2 linked regions of the Arabidopsis thaliana genome follow. The protein of the gene in region 2 binds, or shares a complex with, the protein of the main gene of each other region. Each region holds a gene or a part of one and is shown on either strand. Other genes may lie near its edges.

The links.
Region 1: VIP3 (region 2) and VIP4 share a complex: the UniProt entries of both Arabidopsis thaliana proteins name them as parts of the nuclear PAF1 complex.

The regions. Positions count from the first base shown.
Region 1 is NC_003076.8:24,597,255-24,614,350, forward strand, and holds VIP4 (leo1-like family protein), read right to left. Parts: upstream 10,472-17,096; 5' UTR 10,275-10,471; coding exon 10,158-10,274; intron 9,895-10,157; coding exon 9,563-9,894; intron 9,394-9,562; coding exon 9,264-9,393; intron 9,141-9,263; coding exon 8,940-9,140; intron 8,618-8,939; coding exon 8,441-8,617; intron 8,075-8,440; coding exon 7,943-8,074; intron 7,743-7,942; coding exon 7,563-7,742; intron 7,474-7,562; coding exon 7,345-7,473; intron 7,256-7,344; coding exon 7,166-7,255; intron 7,073-7,165; coding exon 6,821-7,072; intron 6,730-6,820; coding exon 6,592-6,729; 3' UTR 6,380-6,591; downstream 1-6,379. Other genes in the region: AT5G61140 (U5 small nuclear ribonucleoprotein helicase), read left to right, coding at 1-96, 197-313, 419-541, 772-861, 969-1,094, 1,159-1,221, 1,421-1,509, 1,781-1,871 and 14 more; AACT1 (anthocyanin 5-aromatic acyltransferase 1), read left to right, coding at 11,527-12,885; AT5G61170 (Ribosomal protein S19e family protein), read left to right, coding at 13,904-13,987, 14,243-14,333, 14,406-14,589, 14,876-14,948; AT5G61180 (Putative endonuclease or glycosyl hydrolase), read left to right, coding at 15,613-16,063, 16,151-16,632, 16,800-16,991. UniProt on the Arabidopsis thaliana protein: Component of the PAF1 complex (PAF1C) which is involved in histone modifications such as methylation on histone H3 'Lys-4' (H3K4me3). Involved in regulation of flowering time. Required for the expression of the flowering repressor and MADS box gene FLC.
Region 2 is NC_003075.7:14,591,690-14,606,601, forward strand, and holds VIP3 (Transducin/WD40 repeat-like superfamily protein), read left to right. Parts: upstream 1-5,869; 5' UTR 5,870-6,038; coding exon 6,039-6,377; exon of another isoform or gene 6,378-6,534; intron 6,535-6,841; coding exon 6,842-7,468; 3' UTR 7,469-7,611; downstream 7,612-14,912. Other genes in the region: PLP8 (PATATIN-like protein 8), read right to left, coding at 1-847; MKK2 (MAP kinase kinase 2), read right to left, coding at 1,610-1,726, 1,805-1,850, 1,935-2,158, 2,252-2,434, 2,519-2,743, 2,886-3,020, 3,276-3,387, 3,476-3,552; homolog of CFIM-25, read right to left, coding at 4,358-4,429, 4,563-4,673, 4,774-4,860, 4,949-5,022, 5,113-5,206, 5,307-5,352, 5,444-5,628; MTO2 (Pyridoxal-5'-phosphate-dependent enzyme family protein), read right to left, coding at 7,745-9,325; AT4G29850 (transmembrane protein (DUF872)), read right to left, coding at 10,129-10,250, 10,996-11,185; EMB2757 (Transducin/WD40 repeat-like superfamily protein), read right to left, coding at 11,607-11,711, 11,805-11,868, 12,012-12,118, 12,215-12,306, 12,400-12,482, 12,586-12,652, 12,807-12,900, 13,019-13,077 and 5 more; AT4G29870 (Oligosaccharyltransferase complex/magnesium transporter family protein), read left to right, coding at 14,323-14,841. UniProt on the Arabidopsis thaliana protein: Component of the PAF1 complex (PAF1C) which is involved in histone modifications such as methylation on histone H3 'Lys-4' (H3K4me3). Involved in regulation of flowering time. Required for the expression of the flowering repressor and MADS box gene FLC.

The sequences.
Region 1 (17,096 bases), on a different chromosome or scaffold from region 2:
CACCCACCACAATACTATGTTCATGCGGTTTCTGATTCTTGGTTGCATGCAGAGACTTACTTCACAATCTCTTTTCACAATCTTGCACTACCAGAGGTATATATCTTCTAGAGGTTGCTATTTCCGAAATAGTTACAAGATCATTTCTACGCTTAAATTATCGGTAAGGTAGGTCCTAACAGTCTTCTTCATTCAGGCGCGGACGTCTCACACAGAGCTTTTAGACTTAAAACCTCTTCCTGTGACTTCTCTTGGGAATAAGTTGTATGAATCGCTTTACAAATTTTCACATTTCAATCCAATACAGACTCAGGTTTGAGCATATTTACCCTGTTACTCTCCTAATTTTATATTAAAAATGTTTTTCTTCATCACTCCTTTTTTAGTTAACTGAAAATTGTATGGTTTGGTGTTGCAGATTTTTCATGTGTTATATCACACAGACAACAATGTTCTTGTAGGAGCTCCAACTGGAAGTGGGAAAACTATATCTGCTGAACTTGCAATGTTGCGTCTCTTCAGTACCCAGCCTGATATGAAGGTATGAGTTTTCACTCTCCTAACGCTTGGTAATTATTTAGTTCGAGACTTCGACTAATGTTTCAGTTTATTATACATGATTATGTTTCAGCTAAATTGCCAGCCTTTTACTGAATCTACCTATTGAAATGAAGAAATGAATCTCTAAAATGATATCAAATCACGGCTTAGTTTAGTTTCTAGTGTTCTATTTTATCTTACTGAAGATGCCTAAATTTTTGTGGCTTGCAGGTTGTTTACATAGCACCACTGAAGGCTATTGTTCGAGAAAGGATGAATGATTGGAAAAAGCATCTTGTTGCTCCACTTGGAAAAGAAATGGTAAGAGGATATTGCCTCGGAGCATCTATACATGTTGCAGACTCATAATCCATGATTGCTGTTTATTTGGCTACCAAATATTATTCCTAACACTTGCATTTCAACAGGTTGAAATGACTGGAGATTACACTCCAGATTTAGTAGCTCTCTTGTCCGCGGACATCATCATATCTACCCCTGAAAAATGGGATGGCATTAGTCGTAATTGGCATACTCGAAGTTATGTCAAAAAGGTAAATTTTTGTCAATAGATTGCCTTTTTTGTGAACAGTAACTTATGATGTTCTGGGGATATAGGTCGGCCTTGTTATTTTGGATGAGATTCACTTGCTTGGAGCCGACAGAGGACCGATTCTTGAGGTAGAAGCTTAATAACTATTATATCCCATTTTCTAAGTACTTACGCTAAGCTCCATCTATTGGTTAGAAGTTTCCAGTTATATCATGACACATGCAATGTATCTATGGTCTTGGTGAAGAGCTTATATCTTTTCGGCTCAGGTTTTTTCAAAGTTATGTGTTCCACCAGATTTATTTTTGATCTACATTTGGTTTCCAGGTTATTGTATCTAGGATGAGATATATATCATCACAGACAGAGCGCTCCGTCCGGTTTGTTGGGCTTTCTACAGCTCTGGCAAATGCAGGGTTCGTATTTTAACTTCTCAGACTCTTTGAATATGCTCTTTTCTATGTATTATCATTAAACACGCAACTGAATGTTCGAGCTGGTAGACTGTTATTCGTGTCTTTTCTGTGCTGATGACATTGTGCTTATAGTGTGATTTGTGAGTGAAAGACTTTCAACTTTAGTCTTATTTACTAGAAAATGTTAATGTGGAAGATGGCTTAAGATATACCTTACTCCCAATTTTTCTGGTAGCCAGTTTTACTTATTCTCTCAAGTCTCCCTTTTCAGTGATTTGGCTGACTGGTTGGGTGTTGGGGAGATCGGACTTTTCAATTTTAAACCAAGCGTCAGGCCTGTACCAATTGAAGTTCATATTCAGGTAAGTCAATATCTTTTCTCTAGTTTGCAAACAATTAATACCTTTCTTAAACAAAAAATTTATGTATGTCTCCTACACTGTACTTGACTACGCTATTTAATTTCCATTTTCGGTGGGTGGATTAAAGGTATTCAAGGAAACCATACAAGTATGAAATTTCCAGACTTAACCTTGTTTATTGTTTTCAGGGTTATCCTGGAAAGTATTACTGCCCAAGGATGAATAGCATGAACAAGCCAGCATATGCAGCCATATGTACTCATTCACCTACGAAACCTGTTCTTATCTTTGTTTCATCCCGTAGGCAGACAAGGCTTACTGCATTGGATCTTATTCAGGCATGATTTATCATCAAACACCGATACCGAATCATCTTTTAACTATATAACTCTAATTTGTATCATCCTTTGTATCTTCTTTTCCTATGAAATGAAGTTTGCTGCCTCCGACGAACATCCGCGGCAATTTCTGAGTGTGTCAGAGGAAGACTTGCAGATGGTCCTCTCACAGATAACTGATCAAAACCTTCGACATACGTTGCAATTCGGCATCGGACTGCATCATGCAGGTTTAAACGACCACGATAGATCTGCAGTCGAAGAGCTTTTCACGAACAACAAGATTCAGGCAATTTCCTCAACATATTCTCTCTGCTGCCTTTACCGTATCCATGGTTACACTTTTACATTACGATTGATGATGGAATCCATGCTTCCATTACAGGTTTTGGTCTCAACAAGTACCTTGGCATGGGGAGTGAACCTACCAGCTCACTTAGTTATTATAAAGGTAAAAGAAGGTCCTCTTCTATTATTATGTTTGGGATCACTTTCTTGGATTTTCTCCTCTAATGATTTGTCTTTTCTCTTTAATACCGTTGTTTTTGGCAATGTTTCCTATCAGGGAACAGAATATTTCGACGGGAAAACCAAAAGATATGTTGACTTCCCTCTTACAGAGATCTTGCAAATGATGGGACGTGCAGGGCGACCACAGTTTGACCAACATGGGAAAGCGGTTATTCTTGTACATGAACCTAAAAAAAGCTTTTACAAAAAGGTCAAGCTCAGTTGGAATTATTTGGCAATTTTTGGTATCCGTTGCAACAATTTACCTCAAAAAGATCATACTTCCTCTGCATGCAGTTCTTGTACGAACCATTCCCCGTAGAAAGTAGTTTGAAAGAGAAGCTGCACGATCACTTCAATGCGGAAATCGTCTCTGGAACAATAGGCAACAAAGAAGATGCAGTGCATTATCTTACATGGACGTATTTGTTTCGTAGACTGGTAAATATGCTTCAGTTTTATTAAAAAGCGAGATACTACTTGAGAACGTGATTCTGGTTCCTTGAAAAATTGTGCTAAAAGCATGATCAGTTCCCTGCAGCCAGATTCTCTTTTTCCTTTCAGATTTTTCCATTACTGCAGAATAACCAGTTCATGACTCAATCTGGTATTTGATGTAACAGATGGCTAATCCTGCTTACTATGGGCTAGAAGGTACTCAAGACGAAACAATCTGTTCCTACTTATCAAGGTAAATATCAAAGTTATTAAATAAAGAAGATTTCTCTAACTAGAACCATTGTAATATTGGTGTATGCGGGCTGCTTTTTGTGTAGATTGGTGCAAACCACATTTGAGGATCTTGAAGACAGTGGTTGCCTCAAAGTAAATGAAGATAGTGTGGAGCCTACGATGCTGGGTACAATAGCGTCACAGTATTACCTTTGCTACATGACCGTGTCTATGTTTGGCTCTAATATAGGTCCTGACACATCGCTTGAAGTAAGAAGCTGATCCAGTTTATATTGATTATTCTTTTTGTTTTTCTTTGGTTTCTAACCACTGCCCTTTAGGCATTTTTGCATATCTTGGCTGGTGCTTCTGAGTATGATGAACTTCCTGTGCGGCACAATGAGGTCTGGTCTATACTGTTTTACTTGACGAATATATGGTTCATTTTTAAAAGTATCTTTAGTGATATGGTGTCAAAAAAAAAAAAAATCTGTGTCCCTTAGGAAAATTACAATAAAACACTGTCAGATAGAGTTCGGTATCCCGTGGATAATAACCATCTAGATGATCCTCATGTGAAAGCGAATCTGCTCTTCCAGGTATGTACTTCTTCACACTATCATGCACTGAAGAATGAAACAAAAATCCAAACTGTGTGAGTTCATGACTTAGGCCCTGTTTGTTTGTCCATCCACATGATCCATCCAAATGGAGATGAAAAATGATGTTTGTTTTTGACAATTTAACAAGCATTTGGATGGATCATCTGGATGATACATCTGAATGAGTATCTAAATTTAGGCAAATTTATGAAACTCATTTGGATGAATTTGATTAAACCATTTGGATGGAGATGTTTCATCCAAAAATAACAAAAAACTAATATACCCTCATTTATAGTCATAATTTAAATAATTTTATTTTCTATAGATTTCTCAAAAAATCATGAAATCACGTATTATTCTTTTATGTCAAAATCGTAAAATCGTGGAATTGCGTTTTTTGGCCAAAAATCGCAAAATCATAATTTTTGATGTAAAATTATAGAAATCGCTATTCCACCTAAAATCATAAAACTATATTTACGCTGAAACCACTAAATTATATTTTCTTGCCAAAATGACAATATTATGTTTTTCCGCCAAAACTGCAAAATCATGTTTTCCTGCTAAAATTGCAAAATCATTTTTCCCGCAAAATCATATTTTCCCGCCAAAACCGTAAAATCGTATTTTTCCGCCAAAACCGTAAAATCATATTTTCCCGCCAATATGTTTGGTATTGATAGTGGGTAATAATGTTGAATATTTGTCATTTGTTAAAATGAAAACATGGGTATTTTAGTTATTTTTATCTAAATGAAAATGTGAATGAACTACAAAATGATCAAACAAATAAAGATCCATTTAAATGCATCATTTATATTAAATTACAAATAACGAAACAAACATCATTCAAATGTATCATTCAAATGAATCATGTAAGTGGATCATTTGAATGGAAATGATAAATGATGAAACAAACAGGGCCTTAATCATATAATTCATGATTGTTACCATCTTCTTAATGCATGACATCCATTGCTCCAGGCACATTTTTCTCAATTGGCACTTCCAATCAGTGATTATAACACGGATTTAAAGTCAGTACTGGATCAAAGCATTCGGATCCTCCAGGCCATGATTGATATCTGCGCAAACAGTGGATGGCTCTCAAGCTCACTGACGTGTATGCGCCTTTTGCAAATGGTCATGCAGGTAGTGTCCTGAAGATTACTACTCTTAGCTTGTTCAAATTATTTCACTTTTGCAAATTAAGAGGAATCCAATTCTCTTTTTAATTCTAGGGCATGTGGTCTGATCAAGATTCGTCATTATGGATGATCCCATGCATGAATGACCTTCTTCTAGGATCTCTGACCGCAAGAGGGATTCACACGCTACATCAGCTATTAAATCTTCCAAGGGAAACTCTACAAAGTGTAACCGAAAACTTCCCTGCATCAAGATTATCTCAGGTGCTCTCAAATTGGTCACAACTATTTCTTTTGCATTTAATACTTTCACTCATGGAGTCTCAACTATTCTCTGCTGCACTCTTCGATCTTAATTAGGATCTCCAACGATTCCCACGGATCCAAATGAATGTGAGACTCCAAAAGAAGGATTCCGATGGCAAGAAAAAGCCTTCAACGCTGGAAATCAGATTGGAAAAGACATCAAAGAGGAATAGCTCGAGGGCATTGGCCCCTCGATTCCCAAAGGTTTCACTTAAAGACTTAACCACAGATTAGTTTGAGCTCGAAACAAAAATGAAATTGAATTCAACACGTTTATTTTGTGTTATAGGTGAAAGACGAAGCGTGGTGGTTGGTTCTTGGTGATACTTCAACTTCTGAGCTCTTTGCTGTGAAGAGAGTTTCGTTCACTGGTCGTCTGATCACACGCATGGAGTTACCTCCCAATATAACCTCTTTTCAGGTACAAACAATTTTCAACTTATTTTCTCAAACTAAATCATTCTTTCTTACACTTCTATGTATATATTATTATTGCTGAATTGGTTTTTTTTTTTTTGGCCAGGATACGAAACTCATCTTAGTTTCGGATTGTTATTTGGGGTTTGAACAAGAACACTCCATTGAACAACTTGCACGACGCGGATGAGCCATTAGATGATGGATTGTAGTAACCCCATATTTTTTTGGAATTTGTTTTATATATTGTCAAAATTTTCTTAAAATTCTGGTTTTTTTTTGTCGTCTTCTTAATGTAAAACCAAATTTTACCTTACGTTTTGTAATAAAACAGTGTTACAGATCTTTTGAGATACATAAGAAAAATAATGAAGAGCTTAAGGTAAATGTGTTAATTTTACATAACGTTATGTAGAACAGTGTTACAAAAAAATTGGGCTACATGACTACATAATAAATTAATCAAGAGATTAAAACTAAATGTGTTTACTCTGTGACAGTCTGTTTGGTAAATTTGTTTGGGTCAACAAGTTTACGTTATTTTGAACTATCTCCATATCAAATTACCAATTATTCATTACAGTTACAGAAGGGAAATAAAATCCATTATTACATGAATTTAAAAAAATCATGATTCTGTCTTTATTTTGATTAAAACGAGTCTAATTCCAGACTACATTATAACAAATGGACGAAAGGAGAGTGAAAGATTTGACGAACATGATTAATCTTCGTCACTGTCATCAATCACGGCCTTACGACGATGAGTCGGAGCTTTTCTAGGCGGAGACTCCTCCTCGTCAGACTCAATCCCTTTCCTTTTCCGGCCACTTCCACGGTGATCCTTCTCTGCCCTACCTCCCTGCATAAACCACATTTCACCACACATTACAATCTCAATGAACTTCCTCATTGACAACAATAAAAATGGAAGAACATTCTAATTTGCGTACCGCAACCTCTTCCTCTTCTTCATCTTCATCTGAGTATCTGTTAGATTTTCCTCGTTCCTCTTCATCTTCTTCTGCATCTTCCTCATATTCATCTTCTGAATCCTTGCCCCTTCCACGGGCCGGTGACTTTTCTTCCTCTTCTTCTTCCGTCTCATATTCTGATTCCTCTCTCTCACTCTCAGAATACTCCATTTGACGTCTTGACGGTCTGGCCGAAGTCATTGAAGACCTCCCCGGAATGCCTTTGTGGCTCTGGTTTTACCCCAGTGAGAAGCAGTTGAATATTAGTTCAATTTCTAATGCTTTTTTTGCATTCCGAGATATATGAGTTTTTGTTTTGTTTACCTTCTTGGCGTTTAGAATCCGGCGTTCCCGTTGCGCTTCAGCTTCGAGATCTTCCTCATAGCCACGGTTTGAGCGGTAATCCTCGTCATCCTGGTTCCAAGAAACAATCAGTCGTTACTAGTGCAATCTTTGCTTTAGAAAATGGAAGAACCCAATATACACAAACTAATCAAACAGACCTCATCAAGAGCATCTTCCAAGTAGCCAGTGGAAAGTTGTCTCCTTTCAACAGGAAGTGGATACTTGCGCTTGATTTTCTCCCTCGCCTGACTCAGCTTTGTACTAGCCTTGAGGTTTTGGCTTTCCGCCTTCAGAATTTGAGATATTAAATGAGAAAAGTCTACAAACACTGCAATAAAACTATTGTTGGATTGTCTGAGCTCAATTAAGAGGTAACCTTTTCTCTCTTCTCCTTCTCCCTCTCAGGGTCAATGTCAGTGACACAGTTCTTAACTTTGAAGGCCTTCTTCTGCCTCGATTCAACAATGGCAGTCAAGAGCCTATGGGAATTTGACGTCAGCGATGATGGGGTAAATCTCATTTTCTTCAAAATTCTTCCTTGTGATTGAAGGATACCCTACACCAACATCCAAATAAGACAACACTTTGAGATATAGCAGAGTTGGAATGCAGGAGACATTTGGTTTCCTAATGAGAAGTTTTGTCATTTAGTATAGAGAATCGTATGGGTGCTCTAAAATGAATCAGTGTATCTAGGAGGCTGGAGCAACTACAAATTGATCGCTAACTAAGGCAGAAGGAATGACGAAGTAACACCTTTTCATGTTTGATAAAGAGGTGATTCTGGTCTTCTTTTGCATCTTGTTCAGTTATGTTAAGAACTTCGTTTCCTATCAATAGCTGTAAGCTTCCATCTGACCACCTTACAAACCGAGCATTACTTTCACTCTGCATACGAATATAGAGTGACTTGAGTTTACTACAGCAAAAGTAACGGAAAAAGTAGAAGAAATGTGTGCAATAAGCAACAAAACCAAGAATTCTTGTTTATGGGCAGATTTCTAATGAAGCCTAAAGAATAAGAAGAACTGTTGAACAGAGATATCATAAAATTTCATCTCCAACTATATGAACACATGTCCGTAGTGAAAAGCACAAAGTAAACTAATTCGGAATACATAAATTGCATCAAAAGTATGTACTTATAATACATCATTGCATCAGAAGTACTAGTAATAGGCAAACTACATAGCTTCATTGCAGGTTTGATGGAAAATTTAAAAGCAGAAAAGCTTTGAAGAAGTGTTCACTTACATATGTTTTGCCATCTCGACTCTTAACAAACCTATGGCGAACAATATTATTGTCCAAACGGATACGATTCTTTGCTCCGGGTTCATCTGTCATGAATGTGTCTTCTTCAACGAATGTTTTGGCATCAAAAGGCTTTGGATCAATCCCCATGATATTGGAAACTTTTATCATGTTCATCTGAAAAAGATCAAAGAGAAAACGGTATATGAGGAAGCGCAATTTTGCTACAGAACATCTTCACTACAGATAGACAACTAGAAAATGGGGTTTCAGATATAAAACAGAATAGCACGCTCATGTACACCAAATGGCCCTTCATGCTAAGTAAATGTAGAAGCATGTTTCAGTGCAATGGTTCTCCACATAAAAGACATCAGATACTCACTCTTCGAACCACAATGATATGAGAGATTTTGGTAACTTGGAAATACCAGAAAGGAAACTATTGATTTGAAGCCATGTCAGCGAATAATCTTTTAGCAACATAAAGCAGGTATACCTTAACGGGGTCACCTGGAGGAGGGCGGAAAGGAACCTCCACTTCCAAAGGGGGACCAACTGGCCTCTCCCTGTACCTAGCTTCAACATGTTCAGCTTCTGACTCGTATTGAGGATCTTCTTCAGGGATTATATCATCAAGCACCATATCATCGGGTCTCAGATCCTTCTCAGAGCCCTCTTCATCTTCGATTGGCGATCTCTACAAAATTAGACATCTCATCATACATACATGCAATTTCATATGGTTTCTAAAAGGAAGCAAACACTGGAAAGGAAACAGATATTCTGTAAACTGAAATGTAATATTAGATGCAAGACTCACATGTTCATCCTGCTCAACGTCATTCCGAACATATTCTTCTGCGTCTTCATCATCCGAAGATCCGAAAACATTACGAATATTTACGTCTGACTGTGCAACTTGAACCTCTTCCTTCTCCTCACTAGGTGATCTACCCACCACGCCATATTTCCATGTACAAAAGACAAAGTGATCCATAAGAAATTTGAAAATCCAAGGAACCTCAGAGGACTAGCAAGTATTATTAAATCCAGAGCACAGAAAAGATCAAAAAGAAGCTATGAAACAGCTAGGAAAAAAAAGAATGGAAAAAGGGGTACCTTGGACTCCTAGTCTGATCAACCTCTTCATCTTCAGACTCATAATGCTTTTCACCAGACCTCTCTGATCCGCTCTCAACAACCTCCTGTCTCCTCTTTTTGGCTACTCTACCCCCATGTTCTTCTTCTTTGTTATCACTATCACTATCTCTTGCTTCACTTTCCTCTTGTGGATCAGCCTCCTGTGAACTTTGCTCCCTCTCACCCTCACTTTCTCCAGGATCAAGTTCTACATCTCCCTGTTCCCCGTCAGACTCAGCTTCAGCTTCTCCGTGAACTTCAACCTCAGCTTCACCTTCTCCTTCAGGCTCCACCCCGCCCTCAGCCTCATCCTATCAGTGTTTACATTGGAAATTTCAGCCACAATTTCACTGATATCTTAGTCTAGTTGATATTAAGAAGAACTGAAGCTGAATTAGGCCTAATAAGTTGCATTGGTTCCTGCAATTAACCTAAAACCCTAAATTCAAGCGAGAAGAACTCCAGAAACCATTCGTATTCCAAGGTGTAATTGAAGAACAGTGGCAGTGAAAAATACGAAAACTGAAACAATCAATAGTGACGAAACGAAGGAGATAAAGATGGAGAGAGTTACGGAAGCGTAGTTAGGCTGACGACGATTGCATTCATGTTCGGATTCGATCTCTTCTTCCTCGGAATTATCTCCGAACAGATTAAGCATCATCTCGGATCTCTTTTCTCCTTTAACCATCTTCGCCTCACTTACTCAAAAGTCACTGCCTCTTAGCTGGTGACGGCGGCTCGTGATCTGAGCTCCGACGAAGGGTTCACTGTTATCGGCCTTTGTTGAAGAAGCTATTTTTTTTTCATCTCTACCTCGCGATTTTATGGCATCAGAATTATTATTATTAAAAACAATTGTTACAACTTACAAAGAAAAGGAAATTTTCATCGATATATCTTTTTTAACGCATTACCGGATTATTAAAAATCATTTTTTTTACGTGTAACGACGACTAGAGAGGGAAAAAAGATGGGATTTTATGGGCTTTTTTGAGATTGGAATTCAATATTTTTGGCCCACAAATTTTGGGTTATGGATACCAGTTTCTTTGTGATAGTGAGCTTGTGTTTGCCTTGGCCCCTATGTATATGAATGATACAACATCCTTTTAACTGATTCTTTTGGCCCCTATTTTTTTATATTTAATTTATTTTAAAAACTAATTATTAACTTCTTTGATCAAATAACTTGAGTTGCCAAAATAAATGTTATGTCTTCTTCTAAAACATTGTTGTTGGTTTATAGATTTTATCTGCTTTAGAAATTAACAAGAGACAAAGATTAGGTAAAAGCATAACCGACTTGTGTTCTATGAAAACTTAAGTGACAACTAAACATCATGAATATTCAGGAAATCCTGAAAATTTAAACAGAATTATAGTAATTTCTGAAAAACTCAAGAAATTATGGAATAAAAAGAAAAAAGAAAAAACTATGGACACTTTTAAATTACTCAAACTAGTTTAAGGCTTTTGGAAATTTCACTTTTTGCTTTTTTTTAACTCGAGAAAATTACAATTTTATGTAGACACATTTTGCTCACAAATGTTTATTTATATATTTTCCATAAATTTATTTTTCAGCCTTTTATCTACAAAAATTTATCTTCTAAGAATGTTTTTACCACCAAAAATAATAAATATAAACCACAAAAATAAAATTATATATTTTATATATATATATATATATATATATATATAACAATTTTTATCTATGATATCTGGCAGTCGCAGTTGGCTTAAGCCGCCTGGCCGCCTCTGGAGGGACCAAAATAATTCAAATGGTAATTACGTGCCTTGGCTTCCAACCAACGTTTTTGACTAGGGCTGACTCGGTAGCTTGTTATGTTAGTATAAGAGTTAACTCCATCTGATACTCAGCTGAATAAACTCATACGTACAAAGGAATATTATCTAAAAGACGAGAGTACAAGTGAGAAATGGCGTTAAAGGTGATCAAGATCTCCCGAGTCAGCCCTGCAACCGCCTCCGTCGACCCGCTCATTGTCCCACTCTCGTTCTTTGATTTACAGTGGCTTAAACTCAACCCTACCGAGCAAGTCTTCTTTTACAAACTCACCGAATCATCATCATCTCGCGACGTTTTCTACTCCTCCATCCTCCCCAAGCTCGAGCGATCTCTTTCACTCATCCTCACTCACTTTCGCCTATTCACGGGTCACCTTAAGTGGGATTCACAAGATCCAAAGCCGCATTTAGTTGTTCTCTCAGGAGACACACTCTCTCTCACAGTGGCTGAGACTGATGCGGATTTCTCACGTATCTCTGGCAGAGGGCTTCGTCCAGAGCTAGAGTTACGCCCTCTAATACCCGAGCTACCGATTTATTCTGACTCGGGGGCTGTTGTATCTCTGCAAGTCACTTTGTTCCCGAAACAAGGCTTCTGCATTGGAACCACAGCCCACCATGTCGTCTTGGACGGCAAAACGGCTGAAAAATTTAACAAAGCATGGGCTCACACTTGTAAACATGGCACCATACCGAAAATTCTACCAACGGTTTTAGATCGTTCTGTCGTCAATGTTCCAGCCGGACTTGAACAAAAGATGCTCGAACTTCTGCCGTATCTTACGGAGGACGACAAAGAGAACGGAAGAACCCTAAAGCTACCTCCAGTCAAAGAGATTAACGCTAAAGACAACGTCCTCCGAATCACCATCGAGATAAGTCCTGAAAACATTGAGAAACTCAAGGAGAGAGCCAAGAAAGAGTCAACACGCGCTGAGCTTCACTTGTCAACGTTCGTAGTCACGTTCGCCCATGTGTGGACATGCATGGTGAAGGCACGTAGTGGTGACCCAAACCGACCGGTTCGTTTCATGTACGCTGCTGATTTTAGGAACCGGTTAGAACCACCAGTCCCTGTGACATACTTCGGGACTTGTGTCTTAGCCATGGATTTCTATAAATACAAAGCTAAGGAGTTTATGGGAGAAGATGGATTTGTCAACACCGTCGAGATTCTCAGTGATTCGGTCAAACGTTTGGCTTCACAAGGGGTAGAGTCAACTTGGAAAGTGTATGAGGAAGGAACAAAGACAATGAAATGGGGTACACAGTTGTTGGTCGTAAACGGGTCGAACCAGATTGGGATGTACGAAACGGACTTCGGGTGGGGAAGACCCATTCACACTGAGACAATGTCTATCTACAAGAACGATGAGTTCTCTATGTCCAAGAGGAGAGATGGTATCGGTGGCGTCGAGATTGGCATCTCTTTGAAGAAACTTGAGATGGATACTTTTCTGTCTTTATTTTACAAATGGATTGGAAACTGAAAACGTACGGTCTTAATCGATCCCAGCTTTTGCTTATTTGTATTTTTATTTCTAGTTCAATAATTGCCCTATATGTACTACGCAAATTTGTATTGATTCTGTCTTTTGAATTCTATTTTTTGGGGTACAATAATCATCCATATTTGAAATATTAGTAGACTTTTCATGATCAGTGAATCTATTTCCCCCTACTTTGAAAAATCGAAACTTTGATTTCAGAAAAAAAAAGCTGTGATACGCAGTGGCGGAGGTACAGCTTCAGGAGGGGGGTCACTTGACCCCATGACTTTTACAAAAAAAAATTTAATAGCTTAATTATTTGGTATTTAGTATATAATTTGGGTTCAAATATTAAATTGACCCCCTTACTCGAAATTCAAATCCTATTTTTGCCCCACTCAATTACCATATTTTGTGTAAATCAATCTCATTATTCTTCTTCTATTAATTTCCTGAACCCTATATTAAATTTTGGTAACTGGTTTTATTATTCCCCTAAAAATACATGAATTTAGATAGACAAAACAATTAAATAATGTGGGTACTAATCTTTACATTTAGATAAACAAAAAACAATTTTAGTAACAAAAAAGATGTATATCATTTTTCACCAGATTTTTAGTAAACTTTTAAATAGAAAAATGATGAATAACATATGACTACTCGTGTATTTTCCACAAAGAATTTTTTTTCGGAAAAACAACAATAATTTACGAAATTGTGATATTATTTTTTGTTCTATTTTTTTATCTATAAAAAATTTTTTTTTAAAAAAAATCCTTGTTTTAATTTTCTCAGAAACGTGGGACCACAATATTTTCCAAAGGGTTCAGAGTTTAGCGGGCCGAATATATGTCATAGGCCCATAGGCTAAAACAATAAGGGTAGTTATGTAAAATCCGCTCACACACACTCCTCAAAAGCCCTAATCGTTTATCATAATTCCTCAATCCCGTCTTCAAGTATCGCCGACGCCGCAGCACAAAGGAGGAGAAGAAGGATCAAAGGCGCGACAACAATGGCGACAGGTAAAACAGTGAAGGATGTCTCTCCACACGAGTTCGTCAAGGCTTACGCTGCCCATCTCAAGCGTTCCGGCAAGGTAACGAATCGTGATTCTTAGCTTTTGGTCCGCATCGTTTGTCCCTAATCTAGTATTTTGATTGATGTTTGGGATTACGATTACCTCATGAAACTGCAATGATCACTGCCTGATTGAAACTTGAATTTGGCCTTACTCTAGAGCATTTTGAATCGTAACTACAAATCTCAATAAAGTCTAAACAGTGATTTGCTAGTGTCATTTCAGTGAAGATAGGTTTCTGCTTTTGATTCCAATGTTGTTCCTTCCATGTAGATTGAGCTGCCTCTGTGGACAGACATCGTCAAGACTGGTAAACTTAAGGAGCTTGCTCCATATGACCCTGACTGGTACTACATCAGAGCTGGTATGTATATATAACATCTGGTCAAATCTTCTACATATTGGATTTAGCATTGTCTTTATCTGTTCTATTTAGCTTCCATGGCTAGGAAGGTTTACCTGAGGGGTGGTCTTGGAGTTGGTGCCTTCCGTAGGATCTATGGAGGAAGCAAGAGGAACGGAAGCCGTCCTCCTCATTTCTGCAAGAGCAGTGGTGGTGTTGCTCGTCACATTCTTCAGCAACTCCAGACCATGAACATTGTTGACCTCGACACCAAGGGGTAAGTATATTGTCTCTAGTTTAGATTTCTCATTGGCCTAAATTAAGTTAATACACTGGTACAAAGAAATTGTAGGAAAATAAAAATTGTATAACACAAGTTAGACACTTGGATTCGATTTTCGCTTAAGAAATCTGCTGAAACTGTAATTGTGACCTATTAAAACTCACTAGATGAAGTGTGTATAAATGGTTTTAGAATGTACTACTGCGTCATTTACTAATATACCTATGGAAGCAATTGTTCATCTTCGCTAGCTTATGATTACATGTTCTGATGTAACCAGTGGAAGGAAGATCACATCAAGTGGTCAGAGAGATCTCGACCAAGTCGCTGGAAGGATCGCAGCTGCTGTCTAAATCATAGCGACTGATGGTCAACTCCAAGTTTAAGGTTTATGTTTGAGATTTAGTAATGGAATGAGTTGCATTTGATGAAAACCAGTAGTAGAATTCCCTCTCATTTTTGTTTTGATGAGTTTTCGTTTACAAATTGCCTCTCTTTTTATTCTCAGCGACTTATGGCTTATATATTTGATTTCATCTTTGACCTCCTTTCCTTTCTATTTCATGAAATTAGTTATCAAAATTTTGATAATGGCTTGTTTAGGTTTTTACATTTAAGCTCCTCGTTCTTCTTCAAAATCAAAGTGTAGAAACAGAGATTACCAATAACTAATTGTGAACGTTTCAAAGTTTTTAAAATTTCTTGTAAACGGAGGTAACCATTAAAAAACGAATTACATTTATTATTTTGTAATATTCAAAACAAAATCAAAATCTTGAGAATCGAAACCGTTACGTATACTACAATTTATATGATCACATTTTAAATTTCGAAAATTGAGGGACATTTCAAATTCAAGAAAACATATACTCCACTAATTTAGGGTGTCTCCGTTAGTTTCTAAAACTCGTTGCCCCTTTTAATTCCAGTTCAAAAGCTCACGCCTCATACACAATCTCTAAACCCTGACCTCCCATTTCAGTTTCTCTGTTTGAGAACACTTGATTTCTTTTAAAAATGGCGGCTACAGTAGCAGAGTACGCAACTGCTAAATCATTGGCGTTGCTGGACACAGAGAACCGCGAGGTTCTCAATAGTTTTGATGCCATTTTTACTCATGGCAACACCGATCAAGTCGCTCCTCTTGATGAGCCTCTGGTCTTTAACCGCTTTGGACTCAGTCACATCTCGGCCAAAGACACCCATCAACCAAAAACGGACGTAGATGAATCAGCGAAGGCGGATTTCGCTGGTGCAAAAACGTCAGTTTGGTGGGACATTGAGAACTGCGAGGTTCCAAAGGGTTGTGACCCTCATGGGGTTGCTCAGAGCATTAGATCAGTTCTGTCGAAAAGTAACTTCTGTGGTCCGCTCACTATTTATGCCTATGGTGACACAAATCAAATCCCTTCCTCTGTACAACAAGCTCTCTCTTCCACCGGCGTATCTCTCAATCACGTCCCTGCCGGTTAATCTCTCTTCTTGAAACACCTGATTAGCTATAAATTAAAGTATGAATATTTTGGAGTTAGTGAGACCAGTCTTTGCTTTGTAGTCTCTAATGGCTTAATTATTCTCTATGTTCTTGATGATGGTGAGCATTTAACAGGAGTAAAAGACGGGAGTGACAAGAAGCTCCTTGTAGATATCATGTTGTGGGCAATGGACAACCAAGCTCCTGCTAACATAATGCTCATCTCTGGTGATAAAGACTTCTCTTATCTTCTTCACAAACTAGGTATGAAGAGGTATAACATTCTTTTGGCTCGACCTGAGAAAGCTTCAACGCCACTCATCGCTGCTGCAAAGACCGTATGGTTATGGACAAGCATTTTTAATGGCGATTGTCCTAACATACCTATTGATCTCACTACTAGACGTCATCATCATGATTCTGCCTATGAGGTATCAAGACATTTGGGTCCTAAACAAGCTCAAGGGACCAAGAGGGGCCGGAGTTTTTGTGAATTATGCAATGTTTCTTGCTCAAACCATGATTTAACCGCTCACCTCTCTGGTAGAAGGCACAGAGCTAACGTAAGCTATACATTTCTTTTTCTTAATGTGTGCTTGAATATTGTCCTCTCTTTAAGCCTAATCTTGAGTTCACTCTACGGGCATTAGATGTGAGGCACATATATATATATGTTTTATGTTGATATAGTCTTGACAATTGTTGTTGTACATTTTCTCAACTTGTGTAGGTTGAGCTAGTAGCCCGTGGACGCCCTCTTGTCAGTAATTCAACCGAACCAAAGTATGCATGGTGCCGAGTTTGCCGTTTGCGTTTCCGCAGCCAAGCAAGTTATGAAACACACATCTTAGGGAAAAGCCACCAAGAAAAACTTGAAGACCAAAACGAGCATTCCAAAAAGCGCATCTGCAGGACCCCCTAATCGTTTCATATAAGATTTTGGAGGGAAGACATAATGCGATTAGAGTTTGTTAATTCCCAAACTTGTCTTTTGAGTCTCATCTTTAGTTGTTGGTTGAACAACTTT
Region 2 (14,912 bases):
CGTCGGCGCGTGAGAATAGAAACGGAGCCGTGCTTGAGAGATCGTAGCAAGAGATGAGAATTGGTTTGAGTGTGTCTTTAAGCGTTAGATCGGCGAATGATGCTTTCATTGCTTTTTCTAGCTTCGCCGTTGCGGCGGTTACTGAAGATGATCCGGATCCGGATCCAGATCTTATGACCCGTTTAATCGCCGCTCCTGCTCCTCCTCCTCCACTTCCGCTCCCTGATCTGTAGAATCCTTCTGCGTTCTCTACGAGAAATTTCCAAGTGTCCTCCGCCTTGAAAATCGGGCGGTTGCCGTCTCTTGTCGCAAATATCATCGCAGCGAATACTCCACCGACACCTGATCCGGCAGCGACGTCGAAGTAATCGGCGATTCGAGCGTTTGGATCGCCGGATTTCTCTTTCAGCATTTGCTCTAAATAGATTAGGGATTTTCCCGCCAAAAGACCTCTCATACCGCCACCGTCAATGCTCAAAACGCAGATTCTTCCTCTCGGACTTCTGAAAGATGAAGACGGTGTTCCCGGGAGAACGACGCCGTTTGGAGTCAACGGTGATCTGGGAGAAGGACCTGCTTCGGAATCACCGGGTCGTAATGGACTCTGAGGAATCCATAGTAGCCTTGGGTCTTCGTAACCAAAGAGAAATTTGCTTTCGAGAATTGAGAAGATCTCGTAATTGAGCTTATCATCGGGTTCGTGTGATCGAGCCGTTGATAACGTTGGACTGGTTTGAGTCCTCTCGTAATTTCCAGGAGTGTTGGGAGCTGTGTGATTGACAAAATGCTTCTTCTTCCCTTTGGAGGAAACTGACAATGGCGGTGGCTTTTCGTAGCGCCGATTCATAATCGTTAGCTTTTAGACAAACCTTGAAATTGAAGCTTCCGTAGCTATAGTATGAGAGGTGTTTTTCAAAGACGTGTGCAAAAGATTTTAAAAATAGATTTTGATTTGGATTTTGTATGAACCAAATGGTGTATGTTAGCATGACATGGCTAAGCACTACTCGTGTGCTTGGAAAGGTCTGGTACCCACGTCCGATGCCTCCTCCAGCAAATTTAGCTCATATAGAATTTTCTTTTCTATCTTCTTTATTCTTGAGTAAACATATACTAATTTATTTAATTTGTTTAAACATAGCAGTTTATTGGTTGGTTGGCAGATATACCTAATATATCCAATCACATAAAAGTATTCGAGGAATGTTATTAATTTATCTGAGTGCAATCTAAATTATCTAATTAAAAAACAGTATAACACAGTTCACATTTTCTTACTCGAATCTCAGTTTTCACATCGAACAGTTAGATTGTGGAAGCTTTCTTAAAAGACAAGAAGAAAAGTGAATGAAGTCAAAATTTGAGACATAAGAACAGATGATTCTTCTTTTCCCAAATGGATTCCAATCTAACGTATCACAAAACATGAATTCCAAGTGAATTTTTTTAAATAAACACTCTCATGTACCTTATATATCTATAATCTTAAAATACAGCAATTTAATATATCTATATGTATTATAAAGATCATTTTATCACTGGAAGGTAAAACAAGAAATCTTCAGATGATAACAGGAACCAGATGGTGATATTATGTCTCCCTTGTAGTTTACACGGAGAACGTACCAGACAGGTTCCCAAGTGTTGCAAGTGGCGATCCTGCATCTGTGAAGTAGGACGCGAGATTGATCCCCGAGTAGTCGTATTTGTTCAAGAAAGGATGTTCCTGAAATTGTTTGACACAGAGTATGATTCAACATTTCAATGGATGAAAAACATGCAAAAGGGATTATATAAAACAAACCATCAGTTCCTTTGCAGAGCTTCGACTGTTTGGATCCTTCTGCAAACTGGATGAGAGTGTAGAGTGGAATATGTTAACTTAGTAAAGTAATCTCAGTAAAAGAGGGAGCAGGAATTTTTTGAGAGATTACCATGTGGAGATGAATGAAGATAACTCAGGGGAGAAATTTCCTGAAGGAAGAGCGGGTGGCGGTTGGTCAACAATGGCTTCCATCAACTCGAAAACACTGGTCCATGTTTCCTCTTGATTCGGAGGTGCATAAGGGAACTTTCCTGTTGCACATTCGAGTACTACTAAACCCAAGCTCCATATATCACTTTTATTTCCGTACTTGTTTCCAACGATTCTCTCTGGCTGTAAAAAGGAAAAATTAAGATTCTCAATTTTTATAACACTCGAAAGGGGTTTCAAACTAGTCAATGCTCAAGAGACAAATAAGATACTTACAGACATATAATTGTAAGTCCCCACAAATGTGTTTGCTAAACCTGCGGTGTTTGTCATAACGGTACTCACACCAAAGTCAGTTATTTTGACTTCTCCTCTGTGGTTGATCAACAGATTGGATGGTTTCAAGTCACGATGGATGATATGCCTATCGTGATGAAGATAGATTAATCCTTGAAGCACCTGCAATAACAGAACCAATAAATCACATCAATCAACCAATTAACAGTGAAGCGTATAGTTTCCTGTGTATCCTGTGTTTCTTACTTGTCTAAAGATGGCAGAAAGATAGGAGTCAGGGATGGCTTTAACTGACTTGAGAAAGTCTGCTAGAGATCCTCCGTCCATGTACTCCAAGATTAGTGAGATTGCGCCATTGTCATAAAATGACTGGTACGAGGTAACAAGATTTGGACACTGTGACGATTGATTTATTTTGAGCTCTTGTGCAATTGCCTTGCGAATTGCTTCATCAATATTTAGTTGAATGACCTAATCATATAGCATCAGAGTTATGCACAGTGAGTGACAAGGCAAGGAAGAAAAAGATTTGTAAATCTTCAAACACAGAGAAAAGATGAGGAATTTAGCTCATCATATACATAAAAGAATCTGAAGGTTAACCAATGAGTACCTTCAAGGCGAAAAATTGGCCAGTCCATTTGTGTTGAACCAGCTGAACAACACCACTACTTCCTTTGCCAATGACTTTAACCATATCCAAATCCGACAAGCTCAGCTGATCATCAGCTGGCTTAATTGGAGACAGCTGAAACACAGTCGCAAACGAAACAGATTACAAACAGTAATCTAGAAGATATGAGCTTAATCCCTGAGTTTCTCTATCCAGAACTACAGAAATGATCTTAAGAAGGTTCTAATTATGATCAGATCCACCAACCACATTACAGTTAATGCATTCAAACTCAACAAAATCTTCATATGCAGTACAAATAAACAATCAAACCTAACACTCGCGAAATTCAGTAAAATCAGCACCGAACGAGGAAGAGGAAAGACTTACGACTTCAGGCTCCAATTGAGAAATGATTCGAACTCCATCCTTGTTAACACGTAGATCTCCATCCTTAAACGTACCGCTTTGAGTCCTACAGAGAGAACCAAAACCTTTCCTCCTTCAAAAACAAAACCAGAGACATTTCCACACACAAATACATCTATCTATCCACAGATCCATGGAGAAAGAGAGATCGAGAAACATACAGGAATTTGGTGATGGATTGCTCGCCAGCAACAGGAATTGCGAGCTTGAGATTATTGCTGAATCCACCTTTCTTCATCGTCTTCGTCTACTTCGTTCTTCGCTTCTTCCTTTTTGTTGTTTCCTCGTCATTATATATTAAGTAAAACACAGTTTTAAGCATAATTCATGTACTTTTCAGCCAGAAATTGGAATTTGGAAATAAAACAGCCATTAATTAATATTAGTCAAGCACATGTTCACGACGTTGACCAACGACTTAGAGACTTTCCCATTTACTACTTCTTTTTCCCGGTTTTCTTTGACCGAAAAGTTTTAATCCACATTTTAACCGGAAACAAACCGGTTAATTCAGTGATTCTTCGTTCTTTAGCTTTTGGTTTTTAAACACTCCCAAAATCACCACTACAACAAAACGCTAACGCAGAATGCCAAACTAACGTTTGATATTTATAGAAAGTTTTCAATATTTCAAATATTGTTTGATCAAATACAATAAACACATATAACAAACAGTAAAATCTTTACTTATGTTTCTCGGTTTCATGTTTGAAGATAACAAGGTTTTCTTCAACAAGGAATATACAAATAAGCATACACCCCTATATTTGTTTTACTCATGTATACATTCAATTACACATCGAAATTATCACACAAAGAAAAATTGTTTCGAATTGATTAATCTATCTATCAGTATACTTCATGTCTAGTCTCTATAACCAACAAGAACATGCTATTCTTCAACATTGTCTATATATTATAAGCCCTATATACATTATATAGTCACAGACTCAGAGAGGCTCCACAAACGATTTCCCCAAACATAATCCTATCACAAATTGCGGGGGGCAAGAGCTACTAGAGGCAATGATCATGAGGTTCGTTCATATCTCCATCATGTTGAAGGAGAATTTCGAAAGAAGCTTAGGAATTTGCGACATGATCGGCCCATAAGTCTGCAACGCATAAATGAAACATCACAACACATAATTAAATACAGCTTGATTGACTGACCCTGTTAGTTTTACCAGGAACATCGATTAAAAGTTCACGATGAGTTAAGGGCAATGCAAGTAAGATAGTACATACCTTTTCATTTTCATGGAGTTGACACAATGGAACAGCGAGGAGTTTGAAGTTCTTAGGCACAACAAACTGTTGATGTACCGGTAATCTCACAAGAAAAAGCTTTGTGCATTCCTACACAAAAGATGAGGATAGAGCAGAGCTTTTAGTATAAGCGCAAATCTTCAAAAGTCTCAACTTTTTCTTACAATGAAAGTGAAACTAACTAACCAACCTTTGGGTGTTTAATATTAGGTGGCAAGAAAGGATACATCAATGTCTCAAAGTTGGGTCTCCACCACATCCCAATACATTCTCCTACCTACAACAATGTTGTAATTAGAGAGACCATTCTTAAGCCAGAAACAATCAGATACAAAAGCACTTTAACAAGAAGCCATAGTTCCTACCTCATAACCCGAAACACCCACATTTTCGTTAACCGATAGCTTTGATGCTAGTTTCCGTTTTAGACCTTCAATATCTAGAAGATTAAGGAGAAACATGACTTTAGCGTTTAGAATTGAGACAGCGATATTTATGCATAAAGATGCAAGGAAACAGCATACTAAACCTGATTCTCCAGGTCTCAAACGACCACCAGGAAGCTTGAAAATGGAGTTTCTATATTGAAGAAGCAAAACATGAGGATGCTTGAACAACTCAACCTGATGTGTCCCAACATTAGATTTTAATCAATCCTTTCAAACCAATTTTCCCTGTAAAACTTTTCAAAATCCCTAATTTGGCTACCAACTATAAAATTACCAGAAGAACAGCTTCAACGCAAGTTCTCAATCCATGAGCAGCATAACTTCAAAAGAAACAAAAAAGAAACTTTAGCTATAGATTAAAACAATAAGAAAAAAACCAGATGATCTAAATCACATCAAAACTCGATTTACTTGGATTTCAATCTGATGACTCGATCAGAGATAATCTCGTCCTTGACGCGAAGAGCTTCTTTTGAACCGAAGTAGTAGCTGCTAAGCGGGTATAAATCAACCATCAAGTCATGAACGACATCGTTTCGTCTCGTCGTGTTGTCACTGATCTCCTCCATATCTAACGCTCGAGCTTCTTCACCCATTTTCTGCCCGTAAAATTCAAAGACGAGAGCTAAAAGCGATCTCAATCGATTAAAATTAAATAACAGAGAGACCACGAGAGCAGAGAAGACGCAAGAAGAAGAGTGAAGAAAGGTGTCGTAGTCGGATCACTGAGACGTGGCGGCTCCAGAGAGTACTTCTCCGCAATTAGCTGACGACGGCGGGAGAGTGAGGAAGAAGATATTAATGGGCCTGTTACGATATTAATGGGCCTTTAGTAGTAAACAAGAATACGGAACGATGTTAAACACTCTATTGTTTCCAACTACTAAAAACGACGCGAGTTTCTATTTTATAACTAAAAAACGAGAATCAAAGTCTCTGTTTCAAATTTGGGTCTTTTGCTTCTTCTTGCTCACTTGAGGAAACACAGTAAAAACCTAAAAAGAGAATGAAACTCGCAGGTCTGAAATCGATCGAGAACGCTCACGAAGATTCCGTTTGGGCAGCGACGTGGGTTCCGGCGACGGAAGATCGACCGGCGTTGCTTCTGACTGGATCTCTTGACGAGACGGTGAAGTTATGGCGACCGGACGAGCTGGATCTTGTGCGGACTAATACTGGACACTCTTTGGGAGTAGCAGCTTTGGCTGCGCATCCTTCTGGGATTATTGCAGCATCTTCTTCGATTGATAGCTTTGTCCGTGTGTTTGATGTTGATACTAATGCTACGATTGCTGTTTTGGAAGCTCCTCCTTCTGAGGTTTGGGGAATGCAATTTGAACCTAAGGTAATTGACTCAATGAGATTGCCTCCAATTTTAGGGTTTTGAAGGATTTTGGGTTGTTTTGTGGTGAAAGAATTCGATTGCTTCATTGAATTTCACTTCTTAGTTGCGAGTAATGCTTCTCCTGATCTATATAACAATGCTTGGGTACTATATGGAATTGCTGAGTATCGTTTGAATCTGTAGCTCTGATCAGATAGGGTCATCTACTCTGCTCGGAAAATAGATCTAGATCATCTTCTGATTTTTCATTGAGTCTTATATAGTAGATTAAGAACAATTTATTGGTGCTTTGATGATAAATCTTGATTTGGTATGATAGAATTTTGACCTGGTGACTATCAAGTATCAGTGCAATGATCTCTCTTTTAGTTTGCAGTGGAGTTTTTATTTGCTTCTGAGCTTATAATTTCAACATTACTCTTTAGAATGGTGCTCTGCTAACATAGTATTTTACATGTTCCAAGGGTACGATCCTTGCTGTTGCAGGTGGAAGTAGTGCCTCAGTCAAGCTTTGGGACACTGCAAGCTGGAGATTAATCTCAACTCTATCAATCCCACGCCCAGATGCACCAAAACCTTCCGATAAAACCAGCAGCAAGAAATTCGTTCTCTCGGTGGCTTGGTCTCCTAATGGGAAACGACTTGCTTGTGGTTCAATGGATGGTACGATCTGTGTTTTTGATGTTGACCGCTCAAAGCTACTTCACCAGCTAGAAGGTCACAATATGCCTGTAAGGTCCCTTGTGTTCTCCCCTGTAGACCCGAGAGTCCTCTTCTCTGGATCAGATGATGGGCATGTGAACATGCACGATGCAGAAGGGAAAACGCTGTTGGGGTCCATGTCAGGGCACACGAGTTGGGTGCTGAGCGTTGATGCTAGCCCAGACGGTGGAGCCATAGCAACCGGCTCAAGCGATAGAACTGTGAGGCTATGGGATCTTAAAATGAGAGCTGCGATTCAGACAATGAGCAACCACAATGACCAGGTTTGGTCTGTGGCCTTTAGACCACCAGGTGGAACCGGTGTCCGGGCTGGTCGACTTGCTAGTGTCTCTGATGACAAGAGTGTATCGCTCTATGATTACTCATGAACAATTCGGTTTTTTGACTTTTTTCTTTTATGCATTCTCCAAGACGCATCTAGTTGTAACAATATAATCTGCAACAGGTTGATTTTGACCGGAGTCTTTAGATTTATCGCTTACACAAAAAACAAAGAAGATAAAATGATTCAAACTTTGCGATAGAACTTTATTGGAAAACTGAGAAACAGATAAAGATCACAGAGAGATGAGTTGAAGAGTAACGCAAACAAACGTCTAAAAGTTTTCAAAAAACAAAACAGCTAAAGATTATGGTCTTGTCTCTTATGACGTAAGTGTATTACTTCCTAAGTAACTCTTGAGAACATCCATGACAGCTCCGAAATCTGCTTTCACATCAACAGGAGGATTGGAGAATCTGCAAGCCATGTCAGGGATGGCATTGGAGTGATAATCTATCTTAGACTGAGTAAACTTCAACCCATGAGCAGTACTCACTACCACAGTTCGATCAGTCGGTGCAATCACTCCTTGATTCCTCAGCTTGAACAGAGCAGTTAGAGCAACACCTGTATGAGGACAGATAAACATTCCTGTCGAATCCGCTTGAGCCATCGCATCCATCAGCTCCTCCTCTGTGGCTTCTTCTACAATACCATTGCACTTCTTGAGAGCGTACACAGCTCTATCGATGGAGACAGGGTCACCGATCTGAATCGCAGAGGCGAAAGTGGTACTTGCAGTCATGGGCTTGAAGTCCTTCCAACCAGACTTGTAGTGCAAGTAAAGAGGATTAGCATTAGCTGCTTGTGCACAGACCATCCTCGGGATCCTATCGACAAGTCCCAGTTCTTGACACATCTTAAACCCTTTGTAAAAGGCATAGATGTTTCCTAGGTTACCTCCAGGAACAATCACCCAATCAGGAACTTGCCAATCAAACTGCTGCAAAATCTCAATAGCTGCAGTTTTCTGCCCTTCTAACCTCAAACTATTCAACGAATTCGCCAAATAAATCGGCAATTCCGCAGTTATCTCTCTAATCAGCTTCATACACCCATCAAAATCAGTGTCAATACTCAAAACAAACGCACCATTAGCTATCGGCTGAACCAGCTGAGCCATAGAGATCTTGTTCGCCGGTAAAAACACAATCGATGGGATTCCAGCGGAGGCGCAGTAAGCAGATAGAGCAGCAGAAGTATCTCCGGTGGAAGCACATCCGACACCAACCACAGGTCGTTTCATCTTTCTCAGACGATTAACTTGACTAACCAAAACAGTCATTCCAAGATCCTTGAAACTTCCTGTATGACTAATCCCACAGTGTTTCACCCACAGATCATTCATACCTAGAAACTGCTTACCAAATCTCTCTGCCCAGAACAGATTCGAGTTTCCTTCAAAAGCTGAAACGATGTCGTCGTCATCGATCTCAGGAAGAACCCACTCTTTCTTCGACCAAACACCCGATCCATAAGGCCATGTGCTTTTACCAACACGCGAATCGAAGAGATCACGCCAATACGCGCCATCGAATCGCTTCAAAGCCTCCATATCGTGTTCGACATCAAGCAAACCACCGGAGCGGCTACGGTACACGATCTCGTCGAGAGAGTAAGACTCCGTGGATCCAGGAGCTGCATTAAACGGAACGTATTTAGCTGAAAATGGATTCACGGCGTTGGAACGATTACGACGAGCCTCATCTCGAATGTTATCCTCGGTACGGTGAGGAGGCTTGACCGCTGTCTCGATCGGGGCTTTGATGTTGTTGCCATCGGCGGTACAGGAGATGACGACGGGGCGGTGGCGGAGGAGAGAGGTTGACCGGTGGCGGCGGATGGGGTCTTGTTTAGGGTTTAAGGACGATACAGAGGCATTGAAGAGACAAGACGAAGCCATTTTTTCTAGAGAATGAGAAGTGAGATGCGGCTGAGGATTTTGAGGAGAGGACACGAGTGAGAGAGAGAGAAAACTATATTCAGATACTTAAACCGGAAATGTCTTAGAACCGGCTAGTCGGTTTAAGCTTTTAGGTTAATTGGGATTATGTATGTGACGTAGAGAGATATTTTGGGCCCATTAATCATTCAAATATCTGGATCGCTTTCCGTATATAGCAATTGAATATTTATGTTTTGTCACGTTTTGCTTTAAACAGGCTAATAAAGTGCATGTTATAAGGAACATTCATGTTGATGACAAAAAGATAAAAGGTTACATTTGACCCAAAGAAAACAATAATGTTGAACATAAAAATTCACATAAGAATCACGTTTTAATTTTGATATAACACCAATACACCATCATGATATAGATTGAAACTCTAGTAGTAACAATGTGTAAGTTGGCCAAATTTGTAATCAATTAAATACTGCATCCAGAGGAATTTGATGGAAAATGAACAATTACATCTGAAAGCAACATGTGAACACTCCAAGTATCCCATATTACTTGGTTCGAATTGGAAATCTTTATAGAAACAAATATCAATTTGAACCGGGTGTATATTTATAGATATGTAAGTATAAATCTGACTAAACTGTCACAGACTCGAATTTATTTGACAAGAAGAAGGAGAAAGTAAGAAAGGACTGGACTCAAATTCTATAAAACTACACAAAAGAGAAAACAAGTCAATCATTGCTATAGAGTAATAAAACATCTCTATACATTTTGAGTAGGAGAGATTCAAAAGGGGACACCTAAACGGGCGGTATGTTTGAGAAGGAGAAACCTTTGTATCCTTTGTAAGCATAATACGCAATCCGTGTATAGTAAAACCCGGGAATGAACAGAAGACACCCGAGGACGATGAAGAAAATCCCTGGTTTCACCATCAAAAATATCAAACAGAGAATGATAGGTCATTGATGCAATGATGAGAAAGAAGTAGTTCCGGCAAAACGGAAGAAAACAGCAAATCAAATGAAATCAAGTTTAAGTACAATGCTGATACTTGCTTTCGCTTTGCAGTATTGCATTGGGGATGTATGAAATGCATTAATGAATTACAAGCCCAGAGGAAGAAGAGCAAACTAGCTAATTTGAAGTGAATCTCATGTCTATGTTACAAGCAGAATTGGGATATATCAATAACAGTATGTGATGATAGTGATCTAAAAAGTTAATGGAATCCAACGGAGATCCTTCCCTTTTTTATCTCACAGATAAGAGAAGCTTAGAATCATCATATACTAGTTTCTATCGGAAGTTTACTAATCATTCTAACAATGAAATCAAATCGTATGCCTTTGGAAAACTTGTGTCTATTCATCCAAATCTCCAGAAAACAGAGAGCAAAAGGCCAAGCTGAAACGAAATTACACTCCACCGTAGCTAACCAGAGCACTTGCAATCTATATCTATCAGCTTAATTACCAAAATTATAACATAACTTCACCAAATCTAAAAAAATTCCTAAAACAATCTAGCTGAAATCAATTACTGTTTTCTAAATCTCTCAAACTAGCAAAGATAAGTCCCACATATTCTCTCATGAATTCCCAATTTCTACTCCAAGACTGGATCAATAAATGTGGAATAAGTAAGAAAGGTGAAGAAATCGCTACCGTGGCCTCGATCACCGCCAACTCGATTATAAGCCATGAAGAAACCGGAGACAATTCCTAGGGTTCCGAACACGAGTAAAGCCACCGCGAGTGCGATCTCCTTCACCGGCGGTCGGTTATTGACGGTGTATGAAGTCTCAATCATAATGTCCTCGTCCGTTATCGAGAACGCATGGTCGACGTACGCCATTTTACACAGCTTCCGGATCAAAGATCAATGGGAAACAATCAGGACCGATCTAGAAGAAAGCAGAATGACGATTGATCTAGAGCTCGAGAAAGATGAAATCGTACTGTTTGAATTTTAGGTCTTCAGATGTTATGAGTCTCCTACGACGGTGACGGATTAGTTTGGTGCAAATGCAATTTCTTTTGGTCGTGAAATCTACTCAACGTACTATGATTCAAACTACGCGTCGTTTGATTATTCTTTTCTCCGAAAACGGCAGAACGTGCGAGTTTGAACAAATCAAACTAATCAGTGGGCTATATATAACAAACCAGAAAATACTCTCTGTTTTTCCATTTGTTTTTTTGATGATGACATCATGTATATTTACCAATTCAAGAGATTCAGGTCAAGAAATCAAACCAAAACCGAACCATAAAGATCAGAGAGATTTATGGGGAGGATATAGTTTCCAGAGAGCAACAGTTGCATCTTCAGACGCAGACGCCATTAGCTCACAGTCTGGAGAGTAGGACACAGCGTTGCACTGCAAACAAAACACATGAAGGCATCAAAATACAAAGATTTAGAAAATGGTTGTCTCTCAACTGTTGAACCAGTCTAAGAAATTTTCACATACCGTTGCTCGGTGGTACTTTAGTATTGCTAGAGCATTTCCTTTGCGGTAATTATAGACTCGTATTCTGTTTCCAAATATGTAACAAACAGGAGAATAGTTTTTAGTCATATGCATCAACTTTTTTTCACACTGGACGAAGTCTAATTGATTTATTCATATGTTTTGTTTCATATTGTGAAAATCAGTGCATAGCATGAGGATGCTAACCTGTGGTCCCAACCAGCCGTGGCTGCAATTTTCCCATCGACTCGAATTGAGGTGCCCGATACACCGGGCCTTTCCAAAGTAATCTCTTTCCTTATTGTACAAGAACCCTACAATCATATGAAAAAATGTCATGGAATCAGTATTAAACTATAGCTTTACGGCAATCACACAAGTGCATCCTCTCTAGCAGATGTCAAACTTACAGTTGAATGGTTGAGATTATACATCACAATTTTGTCATCTGCCCCTCCTGAGATTCCTCCATCACATGATGATGCAACACTAAGACTTAAAACTGCATAAAGAATACGAATTAAGTAATTTGGAAAATTCAGAGAGCAGGAACAAAATATAAGAAAAATCTAAATACAGAGGATGGAAACAAGACCTGGCTCTGAATGAAACTTCACACTTGTTAGAGGAATCTTAGCATTGCGTATATCCCAAAGAAGTATTGAACCATCCTCATAACTGCGCAAGTTTGGAATGAACCACCCATTATAAAAACAAAGTATGTAATCTTGAGATTTGTCTTTCTTGATTAATGGAAAAGAGCTTAGGAAAGAGAGCATACCCAGCTAAGACATGTAAGAAACCCTGTGATTCAGGAGGGCAAAACAATTGAACAGCCATACACATTCCTGCAGATGACCATATATACGACCTTGATGAAAGTATTTTAAGCAAGTTCAAAGGTGAACTAATTTGAAATTTTTTACTGATGCTAAAAAACATCAATTTTAACAAGAAAATGTACATATGAAGGATCTCACTGAAAGACAAATATGAGCTCACCTCTTCCTTTGGTAGAAGCATTGGGGGATTCGTCAGGGCTACTTTGAGGAAGCTGTATTATCTTGTCTCCGGTATTGAGATCCCATATCTCTACCTTTATGGATAGACCAAATCACAAGAATGAAACACAGGAAATGAAAACCAATAAAAGAGGAGAGAAGAAACAATTTTATGACTTTTCCAAAACAAAACATATATGAATTTCTAGTCACCTCAGTAGGTTGCTCCCCTACTACTGCTACAAAAGTGGTACCTTCAGCATGATCTTTATCTGCTAAATTTTTTTGTAATATGAGCAATAAGAAGAAAAACAGTTATTTTGCTAACAAAATCTTTAGACAACGCAAGTAAAACATACCCTGAAGCAAACCAGAATCCTCCTCAGATCGTTCACTATCATCAGCAATTTGAACATTACATGTGTCTCCACCATCCTGCTCATCACAACCCCGTGAGTGACTTTCAGCTTCTTGCAGAGAATTCTTAGGCTTCTTAACAAGAGAGAACTTGCAAAAATGATAGGCGCATGTCTCAAGTATTAGTAATGGGTCTCTGCCAAGTATGTCACAAGAATCATTGGTTATAGACTTATAGTTCGATAGAAACAAACGCATAAAAAGTCGAATAAGGGGGAGATCATATTCACCTTGATAGACCACCATCTTCAATATCCCAACACTTAACAGTTCCATCTCTTCCCTGGCTATAACCATCAGAGTAACTAGCTCAGATTTTCCGTATATAGATTGATTATGAAAGCATGATTGCTTACGTTTTTACCTGATAATCTTGTCCTCTCCTAACCAGGGACTAGCTGCTACAGCTAAAACCCCATTTGCTCTACTATGAGCCCTACAAATCCCAATAGATACAATGAGTGCTAGCTACTTTATAATGATCACAAAAACAAAGAATTAAAAAAATCAAAAATCACAAACCAAGCAGAAGAAACTGCACGGTGCTGAATAGTATCCCAAATCCTCAACTCTCCATCAGCTGAACTGGAGAAACAAAGCTTCAATTTTGCACCAAATCATCATAAATAAAAACAATAAATGACTCGAGAATTTCTCACAAGTGAGAGAGACGACTAATTAATATATACCCAGTGAAAAGCAGAGATTTTGATGGATGGAAGGAAACATCCATAACAGAGTGACGGTGCCCTCTAAGCACAGCCACTGGATCAGGCGGAGGTCTCTTACTCATCTCTGATTCAACTACTACACAAAACCAAACTCTTGTAATAGAGAAACCAAGCGAACACACAACTTAATCGAATCCAAGTCTCAGACTTTAACAACAGGAACACCGAGAAAGAGAAAGCCTTTGAAACTCTCCCTTATATCAAAAACTACGTGTCGTTTAATATTAACTTTTTTCTAAAACGGCACAATGTGCAAATGTATTCATATAGCGGATAACAATATCCAAGTTTCCAAACAAACCAACTCTGAAACTGTTTCACTCACATAATAAGAGAACGAAGAGCTAATTGCTGAAGAATCCGACGAAAATGGCTCCGAGATCAGATTCACAAACCCTAGCCACCGGCTCCGACGAAAATGAATCCTCAATCGATCCGATCTTCCACATTCTCCGTATCATCCCTTTCTCCTTCCTCCGACCACCACGTCTTCGTCTCAAGCTCCCTTCCTTCACTCTCCCATCTCCAATGACTGTCTTCTCACTGATTCTCCTCACTTACTTCCTCGTCGTCTCCGGTTTCGTCTACGACGTGATTGTCGAGCCTCCAGGTATCGGATCGACACAGGATCCAATCACCGGGTCAGTAAGACCCGTCGTGTTTATGTCGGGTCGGGTCAATGGTCAATACATCATTGAAGGTCTTTCTTCCGGATTCATGTTCGTACTCGGTGGGATTGGAATCATAATGTTGGATCTGGCATTGGATAAGAATCGAGCTAAGAGTGTTAAAGCATCTTATGCAACAGCTGGAGTCTCCTCCATTGTGATTGCTTATGTTATGAGTATGCTCTTCATTCGCATTAAGATCCCTGGTTATCTCCGTTAGAGGGTTAGATCACTTTTGGCTTCAATTCTGTAATTGGATCTTTAGTATAAGATCGATCATTAGAAAAAATG